Linked DNA regions of Yarrowia lipolytica. The main gene of each other region encodes a partner of the protein of the gene in region 3 in a complex. Links are inferred from orthologs where the notes say so. Each region holds a gene or a part of one and is shown on either strand. Other genes may lie near its edges.

Region 1 (4,401 bases), on a different chromosome or scaffold from region 3:
TGGTCTGCTTGGAGAAGATATGGATGACGATGTCATGGAAAGTGGTAAGTTTAGCACCTCCGCCATGTTTCTGATGCGAGAACTGGTGGAGATGGATAGACGACGGCTCAAGGACGTGTCTATCTACAACACCTTGCATCTGAGCGACCACAAACTGCCCGAGTTGCCTCTATGGAGAGCCAGACAGGTCATGACCCGTCCCGACTACATTCAAGTCTACGACAACCTGAACATTTTCACCATTGACTCCTTGTCACGAGTACGAGCCGACTCTGTTCCCATGATGCAGGCCTTTCACGAAATTGCAGACATGCCTGGGTTTGATGATTTTCTCGAAGAGACTGCCGACCGAGTATCTGCTATCGAGTCTCTTGGTCGAACCCGAGAGCTGGTGGCTAAGGATCTAGTTGAAGGCGGCAAATACACCGTCAAGGACGCTTTCCGAACGTTTGCCATCAAGCTGGTGCAGCCCGAGGAGGAGGAGGACAAGGCCGAGAGCTCTCTCGACCATCTGGGCAAGTCCGACTGGTGGAATCAGCGAGTGAAGAAGTTCACCGAGCAGATTGAGGAGGAGGAAGTGGCTCTCAAGGAAAAGGAAGCCAAGGCTGTTGGAATCCCTAAACATGTCGAAGATGTCGCGAAAATCCCTGGTGACGTTGAAGAAGTCGCAGACTATAAGTAGAAGTCGACTAGAATTGGCTAGTCCGTCCGTTGTGAGGGCACTTGTAAAAGTACAATTGTGTACGAATAAATTATACATGATTATCTTGTTGTAATCATTCCCCTGACCGCACCTCCATTATCCAATGAACCATTGCATACCTTTCCATTATCTATATACTCCACGCACTGTGCCACTCCCGTCAGTCTTACTCATACCACATTTTAATCAGCTCCTCAGAAACGCCACTTGGAGTGAGAACTCCCAGATCTGTGATAAGTGCAGTGATGTAATCGTGAGGCGTAAAGTCGACGACTGGCGACAGACCCTTGTCGGCATTCTGCTCCTCGGGCTCCTCAACAGTGAAGTGGAACATCTTTTTGGTGTCTGGCAGATCGGCCTGGGCCAGAGGGAAGATTCGCACAAACTTGTGACTCTCGGTGACCACGTAGAAGGGCTTATTTGCGTTCTTGGCTAGCACGGCAATCTGATATGATCCGACGTGGTTGATGACTCCTCCAGACTCCGCCACTCCCTCGGCACCACAAAACACCTTGGACACCTCGTCAATCACAGATCCGACGGCGTTGTCCACAATTAGACTCACGGGAATGCCTCTCTCCCTCAATGCCTTGGCCATTCGCTTACCCTGATCACTAGGAGCAGCCTCTGTGACAAACACTCTGAAACGCACCAAGTTCTTAGCAGCATGTTCCAGAAGGGCCAGTACCGTTCGCGAGAAAGAGTGGACCAGAATGACATCGTCATCCCGCACAAATGCTAGACCCTTTTCCGAAATGGTCTTTCGAGCAGCCTTACTTCGCTCGGCAAACAGCCTTCCGTTCTTTACCAAATGGCCCTTGCAGGCCTCCCAGTCGCCATATTCCCGGATATTTCGCAACACAAATCGCATAAACAGATCACAGCCTGCAGAAAGCGACATAGAGTTGTCCACAGACGTCTTGAGCTCCGCGCTCGCCTCCTTGAGAGTCTGAATCAGCTCGGCTGATGTGCTGGTTTCGGTCTCACTGAGCAGCTGGACCAGGGCCTCAATGGCCGCGACAGGCATGGTGATGTCGGGGTCGTCCCGCAGAAAGCGCAGATATGTCTCTTTGATGTCGAATTTGGCCATGCTGGATTACTTGTAGTGGTCGATTTGCTCTATGCTGCAATTTTTGGTTAGGTTGGGATTAATATTTTCAGAATCCTGAATCACGTGACGATATGAGATTGGCCCAGTTACCCGGCAGTTCGAACGTCGACGAATGTACTGATACGCTGAGTTAGAGAGGGGTTGGAAGGGCTTGTGGTGGTTGAGGGGTATATTAAGGTCACATGACTGTATGTTAAGCAAGTGCTCATGTTTTTTCCGGTCCCCATCCCCTGTCTGATGCCCTTGTGTGGTGTACTTGAGCAGTTGGGAGTTACTTAGCATGTTCAACTAAAGGCTAAGTACTGCATGTCCTGCTGTCGAATAAACTTCGTGCAGCTTACTCATCAGCCATCTGAACAAATACACGAGCTAATTTTTTCACAATCACCAAAATGCTGGCTCGACTGGTAAACGGACTACGGGGTGAGTAACGCTAGAAATGGGGAAGGAAGAGACTTGGAAGGCATTCAGCGAAGCCATGCAATCAGCAGATCGATTCTCAGCGACAATACGACCGTGCCAAACGACACGGTGAGAGTGAAAAATTTCGGATCGGAAGTTCACGAATGACTGCACAACTTAAGGAACCTAGGGAATAAGGAATCCCTGTCATTCCAACAGGTCTATCCGAGTCGACCACCCTCAATACCGTGCTCCTCTGACGGCCGTACTAACTCAGCTACCCGCCCTACTGTCGTGTCTCCTTTTGCTGTTCCCACTCTGGGCTCCATTCGACACAAGCACGAGTATGCACCTCGATTCAAGAACCTACGAAAGGCCCAGCGAGGCCGAATCACTGTCCGAACCGGAGGATCCACTCGAGGCTCCACGGTCGAGTTTGGCCAGTGGGGCCTGCGTCTTGTTTCTGAGGGTGTGCGGCTGTTTGACAAGCAGCTCAAGGCCGCTGACGGAGCCATTGCTCAGCTGATTCGAAAGGCCGCTCCCGGCTCTCAGCTCTACCGACGGTTTCTGCTCTCCACCCCCGTCACTCGAAAGGGTGTCAATATCCGAATGGGTAAGGGTAAGGGAGATATCGAGAACATGGCCACCCGATGGCCCACTGGAAAGGTGGTATTTGAGGTTGGAGGCCAGATGCACGACCAGGTTGTCAAGGAGGCCTTCAAGCGAGCTTCCAGGCGTCTGCCGGGCCGATGGGAGGTGATCAAGAAGGGCGATCTGCCTGTTGTTGGCTCCCAGGAGGTCCCCGAGGCCACCCCCCGAAACTACCTGCAGGAGATGTCCGAGAACCCCACCAAGCGGTTCCAGGCCCTGGAGGACTCCAAGAAGGAGGAGTTTGTCAAGTACCGACGACGATAAATGTATATAGTAACATATTTGATATTGAGAGTGTGAAATGTAGATGTGTGTAGAAGACTTGTATCAACAAACGCGCCAGTACAGTGACGAAACCTTGGTTCCAGTGAAGAGTTACGAATCGGAAGGGTGAGCAATCTCTGTTGTTTGCTAGACGTTGTAAAGTGCAAACCAAGGTGTTACTATGGGGTATATCGATATCTCAGTATATACCGGCACATACTGTACAATACTGTACTTGTGATGCCATTGCAAGCTGGATCATAGGTCGTATGACTCCTTTTTTACGACGTTGGACCTGTGTACTCGTGCGCTATATTCTCGGTACTGGATCCAAATTAGAGACCAAAGAGGTTGTTTGAGAGACATTATCTGCCAACTGAAACACGGTTTCTTCACAAACACGTACTATTCACCAGGATATATATTCTATTTCGTACTCAGCATCCTCACACTACCCAGCCAAGGTTTATGCGAGATATGCAATAACGTTCGAAAATTACGGACCTGAAAAAAACACAGGAACGCGACTTTTTTCCACCAGCAACCCACAATGACACGATCAAGGCGTCCTCGGCCCTCCTACGTGATGGAGGGCGACGACTTTGCGGGTGACGACTCGGACTCGGACTTCAACCCCGGCATTGAACCGACCGTGGAAGATGACGACATGGACGTGGATGTGAACGAGGTCAAGGCTGAGGAGGAAGATGGCAACTACGGTGACGAGATGGAGGTGGACTACGTGCCCAGCAAGTCCAGCAAATCCAAGACCAAGGCCGTCAAGCCGACTCTCAAAAACACGCCGCGAAAAATGCCTGTGAAAAAGATTCCGACGACAAAGGCGGCGGCTGCCAACAAGGAGAATGGAGAGGACCGAAAGGTGGCTCTCAAAGACCGGTTCAACCTGTTCTACGGCTTTGATGAGGCTTCGCGGGTCAAGGGTAATGCTATCCGTCAAACCTGGGGTAACGTGACCTACGCGTGGGGCAAGAATATCATGACGCCCAATGTGACGTTCGAGACGCCTCCTGACCTCAAAGTCAACGTGGCTGAGCAGTTTGGAACTGCCGAAAAGGGCGATGATCTCACCACCCTTGGTCCTTCAATGTCTCTTTTGAATAGCACCGGTGAAGAGACCACTCTGGCCCCCAAGACTAGCTCTTCCTGGAAAGCCAGTGGAGGCGATCAGGATGCACCTAACCCAGCTTCGGTAATTAACGCTGGAGCTCCTGTTTCGTCTGTCGCCTGGGCCTACGGACACACCGTGGCC
Region 2 (4,198 bases), on a different chromosome or scaffold from region 3:
CGTCTCTAATAACCGATGGTACATTCGTAACCTACGAACCAACGACAGTGTAACCTAAGATATACCGCAGAGACAAGTCCGAGATAAGAGGACGCTTGGCAGCAAACTACGCCACAGGCAGTCGGGGAGACGCCAAAGCGCGCCATGTCGTCTGTCCTTCGCCCACACCGCCTCTCCAGAGAGTCAGCCAAGCCCCGAGCCCCTTGTTTTGCACATCCACCAACAAGCTCTAATTAAACTACCGACCTAGTAGCGCGCTAGGGATGCAAGCAAAAAATCTAGCTCCGGAGGTCTAGCCCGAGGCTGGCAGTTTATAATGTTGGGGTGGTGTCTCTGGCGCTGCAATTGATTCCACTCGACGAAAAATGGGAATCAAAGGCTACTTTAGCACTATGAGAGAGCGGTTCACGCCGCTGACGTTGGACCAGATCGGCAAAGGTGTTGTCTTCGTGGACGGGCACATCATGGCCCACCAAATCGCCAACATGGTTGATCCAGGCAGCCGTTACGACATGCGTGGCGTGGCCATGAAGTTGGAGGAGCTCTTCAACTGTTGGATCGGCCAACACAAATGGGATATTCAGCTCGTGCTGTTTGACGGCCTGGTGCCCACAGACAAAATGGACGGCAGACGCAAACGGGCCATGGAGTCCCTCCCCACGGCTCTGCATGCCCAGAGTCTCGCTCTGACCGTTCTTTGTGGAGCTCTGTGTCTCGATACGATCCAGTCCAAGTTCCCAAATGTCCCGTGCTTGGTGTCTCCAGGCGAGGCAGACCGGGATCTGGCCTGTCTGGTCTTCAACTACGCCAAACTGAACTCCAACAAGGCCGTTCACATCATCTCCAACGACTCAGGTTTCTGCGCGTTCGACTTTCCGGAAAACGTGCACGTTGTCAACACCCTGGTAGGAGGGTTGGAGAACTCGGTTCTGTATGCCCTACCAGTCTCACGAACAGTCGCCAACTGGATCGGAGTCAAACCTACCCTACTGGCATACTCTGTCATGAAACACAGTGGAAAGGGACCTTCACAAGCGAAAAAGTACGAGGAGGAAGAGGGGTACCTAGAGTTTTCACAACAGCAACAACAGCTGCTAGCCAAGGCCAGTTACTCATCTGTAGGCGAATATCTCGCCGAACCTGTCACTCGAAGAGCATACCAGATCTTTGGCCAACAGCACGACGAGTTGTTAATGCATACAGCTGCGAACGCATGGATCGAGTATGGATACGGATACGTGCTGCTACCCGTCATGTGTGAGCCCAAGGAGTTTGAGTATGCCTTTGACGCTGGACGAAGGTGGCGATCTGTGGCGTACGAGATCTGTGCCCAGAGACTGATGCAGGTGTTCCCCGAAAAGGACTTTGTGACATCTCATGTGCGTGAGTTTGTGCGGATTGGAGAAACGTTAGGAGAGATGGACGTGCCTATTACCGACCACGAGAGAGCAAGATACAACAAGACCGGTTCACATTACCAGCTGTTCCAAAAGGAGGAGCTTTTGCGAGCGGTCAAGACGTGGAAGACTTCGGATCTGATCAACGCCATTTGGATAGAAATCATGGCCACGTCTCCCAACGTCCGAAACACCAAACTTGAATTTGACGCCCATCACATGAGGGATAGGGTGGTCAAGTACTTGAAGGAAGCATGGAACGACGAGGGAGTGTTTGCTCTGCGAAGGTACTCACGAAAGGAGCGTAAGTTGATGGCCCGCAAGTCGTGCGCAATGGAAGCAACGGATCGTCGGTTCTACAACAAGCTGTTGGCCTGTTTCCAGAGCTTGCGAATGCTTCAAGCTGTGGGAGTCACGTTCCCAGTCGATGTTCATTTGTTTGATCTTGATGGAACTCGATGGATGTCTATGACCAAGTCGAAGTGACAAAACAACCGAGCCAAGTATTTATATATGTGACAATAGATGATTACAATTTTAACTTGTTGTACAAGTATCTCTGAGTAGCCGAAGTATTAGTAGATTTTTATATATGCATATATTGTAATCGAACCAACAACCACACAGCCAAACGCACTTGCCCTCACCTCCTCAAACCCTAACCGCAGTGAAAAATACTGCATGGCTCTGGGCCGACTGGGATCAAGAAAGCTTTCAAACACCCGAAACACATACACACAAAATGCGACTTTCCGGGGTGTCTCGATTCGGCGCAACGGTCGCCAAGTTACAGCGACCTACCATCACTCTGCCCACCAAGCAGGCCTCCGGCATCGACGCCAACAAGTACAAGGGCGGGCTGCCTCTGCATCGACCCTTGAACCAGGAAGAGCGAGTTGCCAAGCTGGAGCAGGGCATCGAGTCTGGCGACGCCCATTTCGCGCTGGGTAAGCGGGAGGTGTGGTTCCCTAAGGAGCAGGTTATTCTTGTGCGACCCAATGCCAAGCTGACCCCCTACCAGGCGTCCTTTCTCACTCCTCTGCACATGAACAAGATGGAACTGCGAGACTACCTGTACAACGTCTACGGTCTGCGAGCGCTCAACGTGCGGTCCGTGGTTTTCCCCGCCGCATTTGAGCGAGAAAACCCCACCCGACCCCGATACCGAAAGCGAATGATCAAGAAGATGACTATTGAGATGGAGGAGCCCTTTGTGTGGCCCGAGGACACTGACGGCTTTCTGGCCAAGATGGAGGAGTCGGCAAGAGAGACCAAGAAGCTCATGGACGAGGTCACCGGCCTTGATTCCCTTGGGTCCAGTCGAGATCGACCCTCTACTGCCTTTGGGGGAATTATGGGCCCCTACAAGAAGGCCGGATCACCTTTCGTGGCCCAGAAGGTGGCATCCAAGCTTGGCGGCTCCAAGCGACGAGAGGCCGAGGCCGAGGCTCAGCAGGAGAAGATGCGAAACATCGCCTTCTACCTGGCCAAGAACAAGCAGGCTGGCATTCCCCAGCCTAAGACAAACTAGTCTCTGTATATAGAAAGGATATGTTATGATAGCAAACACTGTAGAGAGTGAGAATGAGTATGGGAATGCAGAGAATGAATATGCTCAACATGTTATCTATTACGAGCATACTATTACCATCACGTCTATAAGGAAACATTAGATGAGTGTACACTGGGTTGTTACAGTACAACTACAGCAAAGTGTTGAACATGAGTTCATATCACAAGTACAGCAGCTAGAAGTACGTATCTTACGAAGTAATACTTGACCTGATAGATTGAGCATGTACAATCGTCGATGCTCACTTGGATGATCTGCTTAACCATAAAGGCGAAATGCGGTGTTACTGTAAACACCCAATCGTCTACAAAGGTCTCCCCCATTCATGTCCATACCTCCAATAATATTATATATACAGCTAACGCGTTCCTTTTCCTTCGCATCGCCACTGTGCGCCACAGTTTTCCTTATAAGAAACCCCGGAAAGAGTTGATCTTCTTGGATTCGCTCTTTCTAGCAGCATTCTGCCATCCTCCCCGCCCTCGAGCTCGTGGCCGAGAAGAGTCCTCATCCTGAGATGTAGAGTGCGAATGCGAAGGAGGCTGGGGCTGGGGGATGTTAGTAGCAGATGTTGCGTGGCTGCCGTGGCCTCCAAAGTTCATGCCCAAGTGCTCAACTGCAGGAGAAGGTGTCTTCGAGTTGCCTCCAATGGGCACTCCTCGGTAGTAAGCCGAGTCCGAGCCGGCTAAAGACGCTGACGACTGCTTGGTGGTTCTGTGGGAGTTCCCAGAAGACTCTCCAATGGACTCCACGTCGTAACCAAGCAGACTCTTTTGGTTAGTGTTGTTGAACAGCTCACCAGCGCCAGGAGACAGGTTCTCGGCCTCTGAAGACGCGGCGTATGTTCGGAATCGTTCGTCCAGATCTTGGTACCGCTGAGACAGCTCTTGATGACTAACTGACAGCTGATGGTACCGATTTTCAGCCTCCTGTTTGATAGTCTCAAGCATCTCGAGCACCTTGTGTGAGGGCTGAGTCTGCTTTTCAATGTTTGTCATCTGCTCTTCAAGTTCTGCGATCTCGCCTCGCAACCGTTTCTCCATTGTTTCCTTCTCGTGTTTCAGGACTCCTAAGTCAATCTTAGTTTTCTCCAGCTCAATGTGAAGATCTGAGTTGGACGATTGTGTCTCGGAGCCCCGTATGTTGTCAGATGAAGATTCGGCGGAGGCCTCGAGGCTTTTCAGCTTGTCTCTATACTCGTTAATCAATCGATTCTCATTTTCCAGAG
Region 3 (4,652 bases):
GAGGTTGTAGATGCTGATTTTAATGGTTTTCTCCGCGCTCTTGAGCATTTCTCCAGCGCAGCAATCTGCCGCTTCTGGTTTCGCTCAACCACCTCGGCCACCTTGGCAATCCGCTTTCCATACTGCCCTCTTGGACAGTGTATGGTGGCCTGGTCGAAGGAGAGAAGTTTTACGGCGGATAACCTCGCAAATTGTGTAATGTAACTCTAGTCTGACTTGTCACCATTTGGCCGAGCCACCCAATCTTGGACTTTGGTCTGGCGGACCATGTCTCCTTTCTTGTCTGGAAAAAACCCAGCCTGTTCGGACTGTGTCGCTGGGCGGTGTCGCCGGACTGTGTCGCCGGGCTGTGTCGGCGGGCTGTGTCGACAATAGGTTTCAGTACTGTGCTACGATCCATGTCACATGGCATATTTGAACTGTTGAAGAAGATACCCTGATTGAACCAGTGTTTTGTATTCTCTGATTGTCGGTGTACAGTATGTACTCGCACTCGCACAGGACTTCCAGTGGTCGCGATAACCACGTGCTTTGGGGTAAACAAACTGCCAGCTTAGAAAGAACAGAAAGTAGAGTCGATAAAAGTCGACCCTGTTGGAAATGTAAAGTTGTCGACAGTATACCGATCTCTACCATTGTTATCTTCAAAGTGCTGAATGTGGCCTTATCATACGGTACACCAAACGGTGCTAGGAACGATACCGAAGACGGCCGCTCTGGAGAGCTGGAGCATATTGGTGTCAATTGCAACCCCAATTTTCACACCATCAACTCGCCTCTATTGTAGCTGTTATATTGATGCAGATGTCATCAATTGTATATCTCTCCCTGTTCTCTAACCGACATCTCAAGAATACTGCAAAAGACGTCTACAAATAAAAAGTGTGTCAAAGCTGTTTTATTTTGGTCCATTTTGTTTTTATCGAGTATACAGCTCTCCACCATCCTCTCTACTGCGCGACTCTGCCCCACGTTCTCGACATCATCACCTAGACTCCGGTGCAGGAACCTTCCACTAATATTTCAAGTATGCTGCTTCATCATCAACAAGCAATAGGTAAGGAGTGCACTCCAACCAGACCACTTCAGTTCTTTACAAAACATTCGTAGAATGGGTAACGAAAATGTAGCTAGTCTACAAACTGAATGATCGCAGAGAATTCAGTTGTCTACTCGAAACATACCTGTTCCCGCTCCCCATGCTCATTGAATCATTTTATTCGACGTCGACGTCTCCGGCACTCCTTGTGTCATGCCTCAGCTCTACTATATACACTAAATAACAACGGGACCCTTGTCGATAAAAGTCCCATTGTACCCCTCTTCCTGGGGTCGGGTCTGCTCAATGGGGGAGTACAGGTAGTATCCCTTGAGAGCGTTGACCGAAGCTCGGATCTTGGCCTCGGCAAGCGACGCTCCCTGGCCTTCTCCAAGCTTGTGCTTGCCGGAAAAGACACCAACAACAAAGACGGGGGCCTTGGACAGACGGCCGGTCTCGGCCATGAGTCGGGCCTCAGGTCGCTCCAGTCCCTCTCGTGCACACACTCGCACAATCTCCTTGTGGGGCTGGTTGAAGGAGAAGAGCGACTCAACGTCGACGGCTCGCGACAGAATGAAGTTGTCGATGAACTTAAGCGCCTCGTCTCGCGACACGTGTGCGTGGATGGCGGCCACCAGAGCCTGCACAAACCGGGCAGCCGATCGCTCGTAGCCCTCGGGAGCTGACGAGTCAAACACGTAGACCTGCGAGTCGTAGTTGTGCTGCGAGTTTTTCTTTTGCTTCTGGTTGTATTTCTTCACGTCGGATCGGGGAGTGTAGGAGTCGAACACACCGTCCTTGGAGGCGTTGCTGACGTCGTCCTCCACGGGCTTGTATCTCAGGTAACCCAGGGTGTTTGCGAGCGAGTCGTTGGACATGTGTCGCTCAAAGGCAGATCGTCGGTCGGTCTCGACACCCCAGGACTCGGCCAGACGAGTCAGAGATCGCAGACTCAGATGGGAGTCCAGCAGTGAGTTGAGAATGGGTAGAGGAAGCCGGGGGTACTGGACCACAAACTTCTCCGTCACGTGATACTTGAGCAGACTGCCGCCAAACACAGACATGCCGTAGTTGTCGGCCAGCTTTCGGCCGTCCTCTCCCACAGTGTCGGCCTCGGGACAGGTCAGACACTGGGCCAGAGTAGACAACGGCAGAGCCTCGGGCAGACCAAGACGAGCATGCAGAGTTTTGAGAGCAGGCGACTGTCGGGCCAAGTCACCGGGGACGAGGTAGTCGCCCTTGGCCACGTCTCGAAGATTGACACTCAGATCAGAGTTGGGGTACCGAAGAGCTGTGGGGTCCATGGTGGGGGCCTGGGGAGGAGTCTTGGGTTTGTGGTCAGAGGTGAAGCTTCTCGGGGCGCACGTGATGAGTCTGGACCGGGACACGGCCACTCGAGACACCCGCAAAAGTCGACTGGTTCGAATCATCCTGTCGTGGTGATATGTGGAAAGTGAGTTGTGAGTACAGCTGTAGGGAAATTTTCATGATGCACAGGGTTAGGGTGTGGGAGGAGGGTGGTAGTTTCTGGGCGAGTGTCGACCTTTGTTAGAGTTTGGGTAGTGATAAATAGTTTGAAATGAGTTATTTAGTGTATATGGCTTTTTTTTTCAAAAAAAAGTGGTATTATTGATATATAACAACGCTCGTAATCTGTATGTAGAAGGGACATGAGGAATTTCATTATATGGTGAAAAATTGAAATTATGAAAAAAATTGAAAGATGCAATCGATTTTATTAGCACTTTAATTATCATCTGATTGATTTCTCCATTAGTTTCTGATCATGTTCATATATTTACTCTGATTTGTTTCAACTTGTTCATTATATTTTGATTTGTTTTAGCTTAATCATTATATTATGATTTGTTTCAACTTGTTGTGAGTATGTTCCCAATAGTTCCCAAAACAGCCCGAGTATCTCAAAAAAATTATATTTTAGTCATTAATTTTGCAATCACCTAAAATTCTTGTCAATTTATTATCCACATTTTTCCTAATTTATCCAAATTGGTATAATGGCGAATCGAGCATGTCTCCATATCCGTGTCCCGGCTGACTAATAAAAATAGAGTTCGCTCCCAACCACCAATCACCGACCAGCCAAAGACTAGAGGTTTGCAGAAAGGTAATCCACACACTAACTGCAACATATATCAAAATGGTGAGTGCGAGCGGAAGGATTGGAGGGCGAGAAAGCGACGAGAACGTGTGCTACGCATGCGACGAGGACATGGGTGGTTTTTTGTTGGTTCGAATCGGACTTTGGAGCGACATATGACCCAGTGATGAGATGAGATGCGATGACATGTGTCTGGGTGAAACGACAACGATAAGGGCTGCGTGATAACGACAAGGGCTGTGCGAGCTGCTTGCTGGAAGATCGAAGCTGACCTCGGCGCTTGATCTGAGCTGTCATTGAACAGACACGGTGGGTGAATGTGGGGTATGACCATCCAATGGTTGCAGCAGCATGTCAAGTTGTGTCTGAGATCGTGAGCAGAGATGCCACGTATGAATGAATGAACGTCATGGACCCGTCATTTTCACTGCTCAGTTCACTCCAATGACAGTCTCATCGCACTGCTCGTGGAAACGCTCGGACGCGCTCAAGGCAGTGGACCCCGAGCACGACAACCAGACGCAACGAACAACGACCCAAGCTAATATCATCGTTTCTCAATACTCCATAACTCGCCGTAACGGCGCTTTTGTCTCATTTGACTCTTCTAACCCAGGGCGGAGGACGATATCCATTCCCTAAAGACGTCATTTCTATGACCGGAGGCTGGTGGGCCAACCCCTCCAACTGGAAGCTCAACGGCCTTTTCGCCACCGGCATCGCCGTCGGCCTGGCCCTGTGGGTTTCTACCGCCACCCTTCCCTACACCCGACGACGAGAGGGCATCACCTCCGAGTCCGACATTTCCAAGTGGAATGCCGCTGCCGGCGTGTGGAGAGAGCGACACGGCAAGATCAGCACCGGTGAGGCTGCTGAGTCTGAGTAAACACAATAGATTGATTTGAATGAACCATGCCGACACTTGTGCAGTCACTACTTGTAGTGTCACAGCAAGTTGGTTGTAGACCCAATCACTATCGCTGCAGGATGCTTCGGGTGTCTGGCTACTTGTATTTCGTACAATTACTGCTTGAAACCTGTGTCGCGTAGATATCCTGTGGTTTAATATCTCTGGAAGAGCGTCTGAGAGCACAAGTCCTTGTATCGTGAACATGCAGACCCAGCCGAGACTCCGTCGTGCTGCAGATGAAATCGATACGACAGATGAGTATATGTACTGCCTGTTCAACTGGGTGTAGTTCGGGCGGCGTTATACTCCAATCGGTTGTTCCCCACTTGCCACCATTAAACCGTGGAAGCTCGATTTTCGTTGCAGTGTATAAATAAATATTAATTAGTATATGATACGCCCCTCGGTATGCAGACACTCTTGACGGGGCCGTGGTATCAATCGCAGTGGCACCCCTCAGATCCTCCATCTCGGCCGCTCAAACCGATACAGCTTGATCTTGCTCTTGCGCTTGTTCAACAACGCCAGATCGGCCTCCTTTCTCGCCTCAATCGTCGCCAGGCTCTCATCATGCGTCTCAA

The links. Proteins that work in one complex are often made in the same cells at the same time.
Region 1: YALI1_D22704g (region 3) and YALI1_C25301g share a complex: the UniProt entries of both Saccharomyces cerevisiae proteins name them as parts of the mitochondrial large ribosomal subunit. The link is inferred for Yarrowia lipolytica from reciprocal best matches to the Saccharomyces cerevisiae genes MRPL3 and MRPL16.
Region 2: YALI1_D22704g (region 3) and YALI1_E15274g share a complex: the UniProt entries of both Saccharomyces cerevisiae proteins name them as parts of the mitochondrial large ribosomal subunit. The link is inferred for Yarrowia lipolytica from reciprocal best matches to the Saccharomyces cerevisiae genes MRPL3 and MRP20.

The regions. Positions count from the first base shown.
Region 1 is NC_090772.1:2,528,107-2,532,507, reverse strand, and holds YALI1_C25301g (uncharacterized protein), read left to right. Parts: upstream 1-2,292; coding exon 2,293-2,345; intron 2,346-2,398; coding exon 2,399-3,131; downstream 3,132-4,401. Other genes in the region: YALI1_C25336g (uncharacterized protein), read left to right, coding at 1-682; YALI1_C25307g (uncharacterized protein), read right to left, coding at 870-1,793; YALI1_C25288g (uncharacterized protein), read left to right, coding at 3,682-4,401. UniProt on the Saccharomyces cerevisiae protein: Component of the mitochondrial ribosome (mitoribosome), a dedicated translation machinery responsible for the synthesis of mitochondrial genome-encoded proteins, including at least some of the essential transmembrane subunits of the mitochondrial respiratory chain.
Region 2 is NC_090774.1:1,525,246-1,529,443, forward strand, and holds YALI1_E15274g (mitochondrial 54S ribosomal protein uL23m), read left to right. Parts: upstream 1-2,139; coding exon 2,140-2,928; downstream 2,929-4,198. Other genes in the region: YALI1_E15256g (uncharacterized protein), read left to right, coding at 366-1,883; YALI1_E15318g (uncharacterized protein), read right to left, coding at 3,378-4,198. UniProt on the Saccharomyces cerevisiae protein: Component of the mitochondrial ribosome (mitoribosome), a dedicated translation machinery responsible for the synthesis of mitochondrial genome-encoded proteins, including at least some of the essential transmembrane subunits of the mitochondrial respiratory chain.
Region 3 is NC_090773.1:2,268,224-2,272,875, reverse strand, and holds YALI1_D22704g (mitochondrial 54S ribosomal protein mL44), read right to left. Parts: upstream 2,470-4,652; coding exon 1,276-2,469; downstream 1-1,275. Other genes in the region: YALI1_D22691g (uncharacterized protein), read left to right, coding at 3,201-3,203, 3,778-4,047; YALI1_D22663g (uncharacterized protein), read right to left, coding at 4,528-4,652. UniProt on the Saccharomyces cerevisiae protein: Component of the mitochondrial ribosome (mitoribosome), a dedicated translation machinery responsible for the synthesis of mitochondrial genome-encoded proteins, including at least some of the essential transmembrane subunits of the mitochondrial respiratory chain.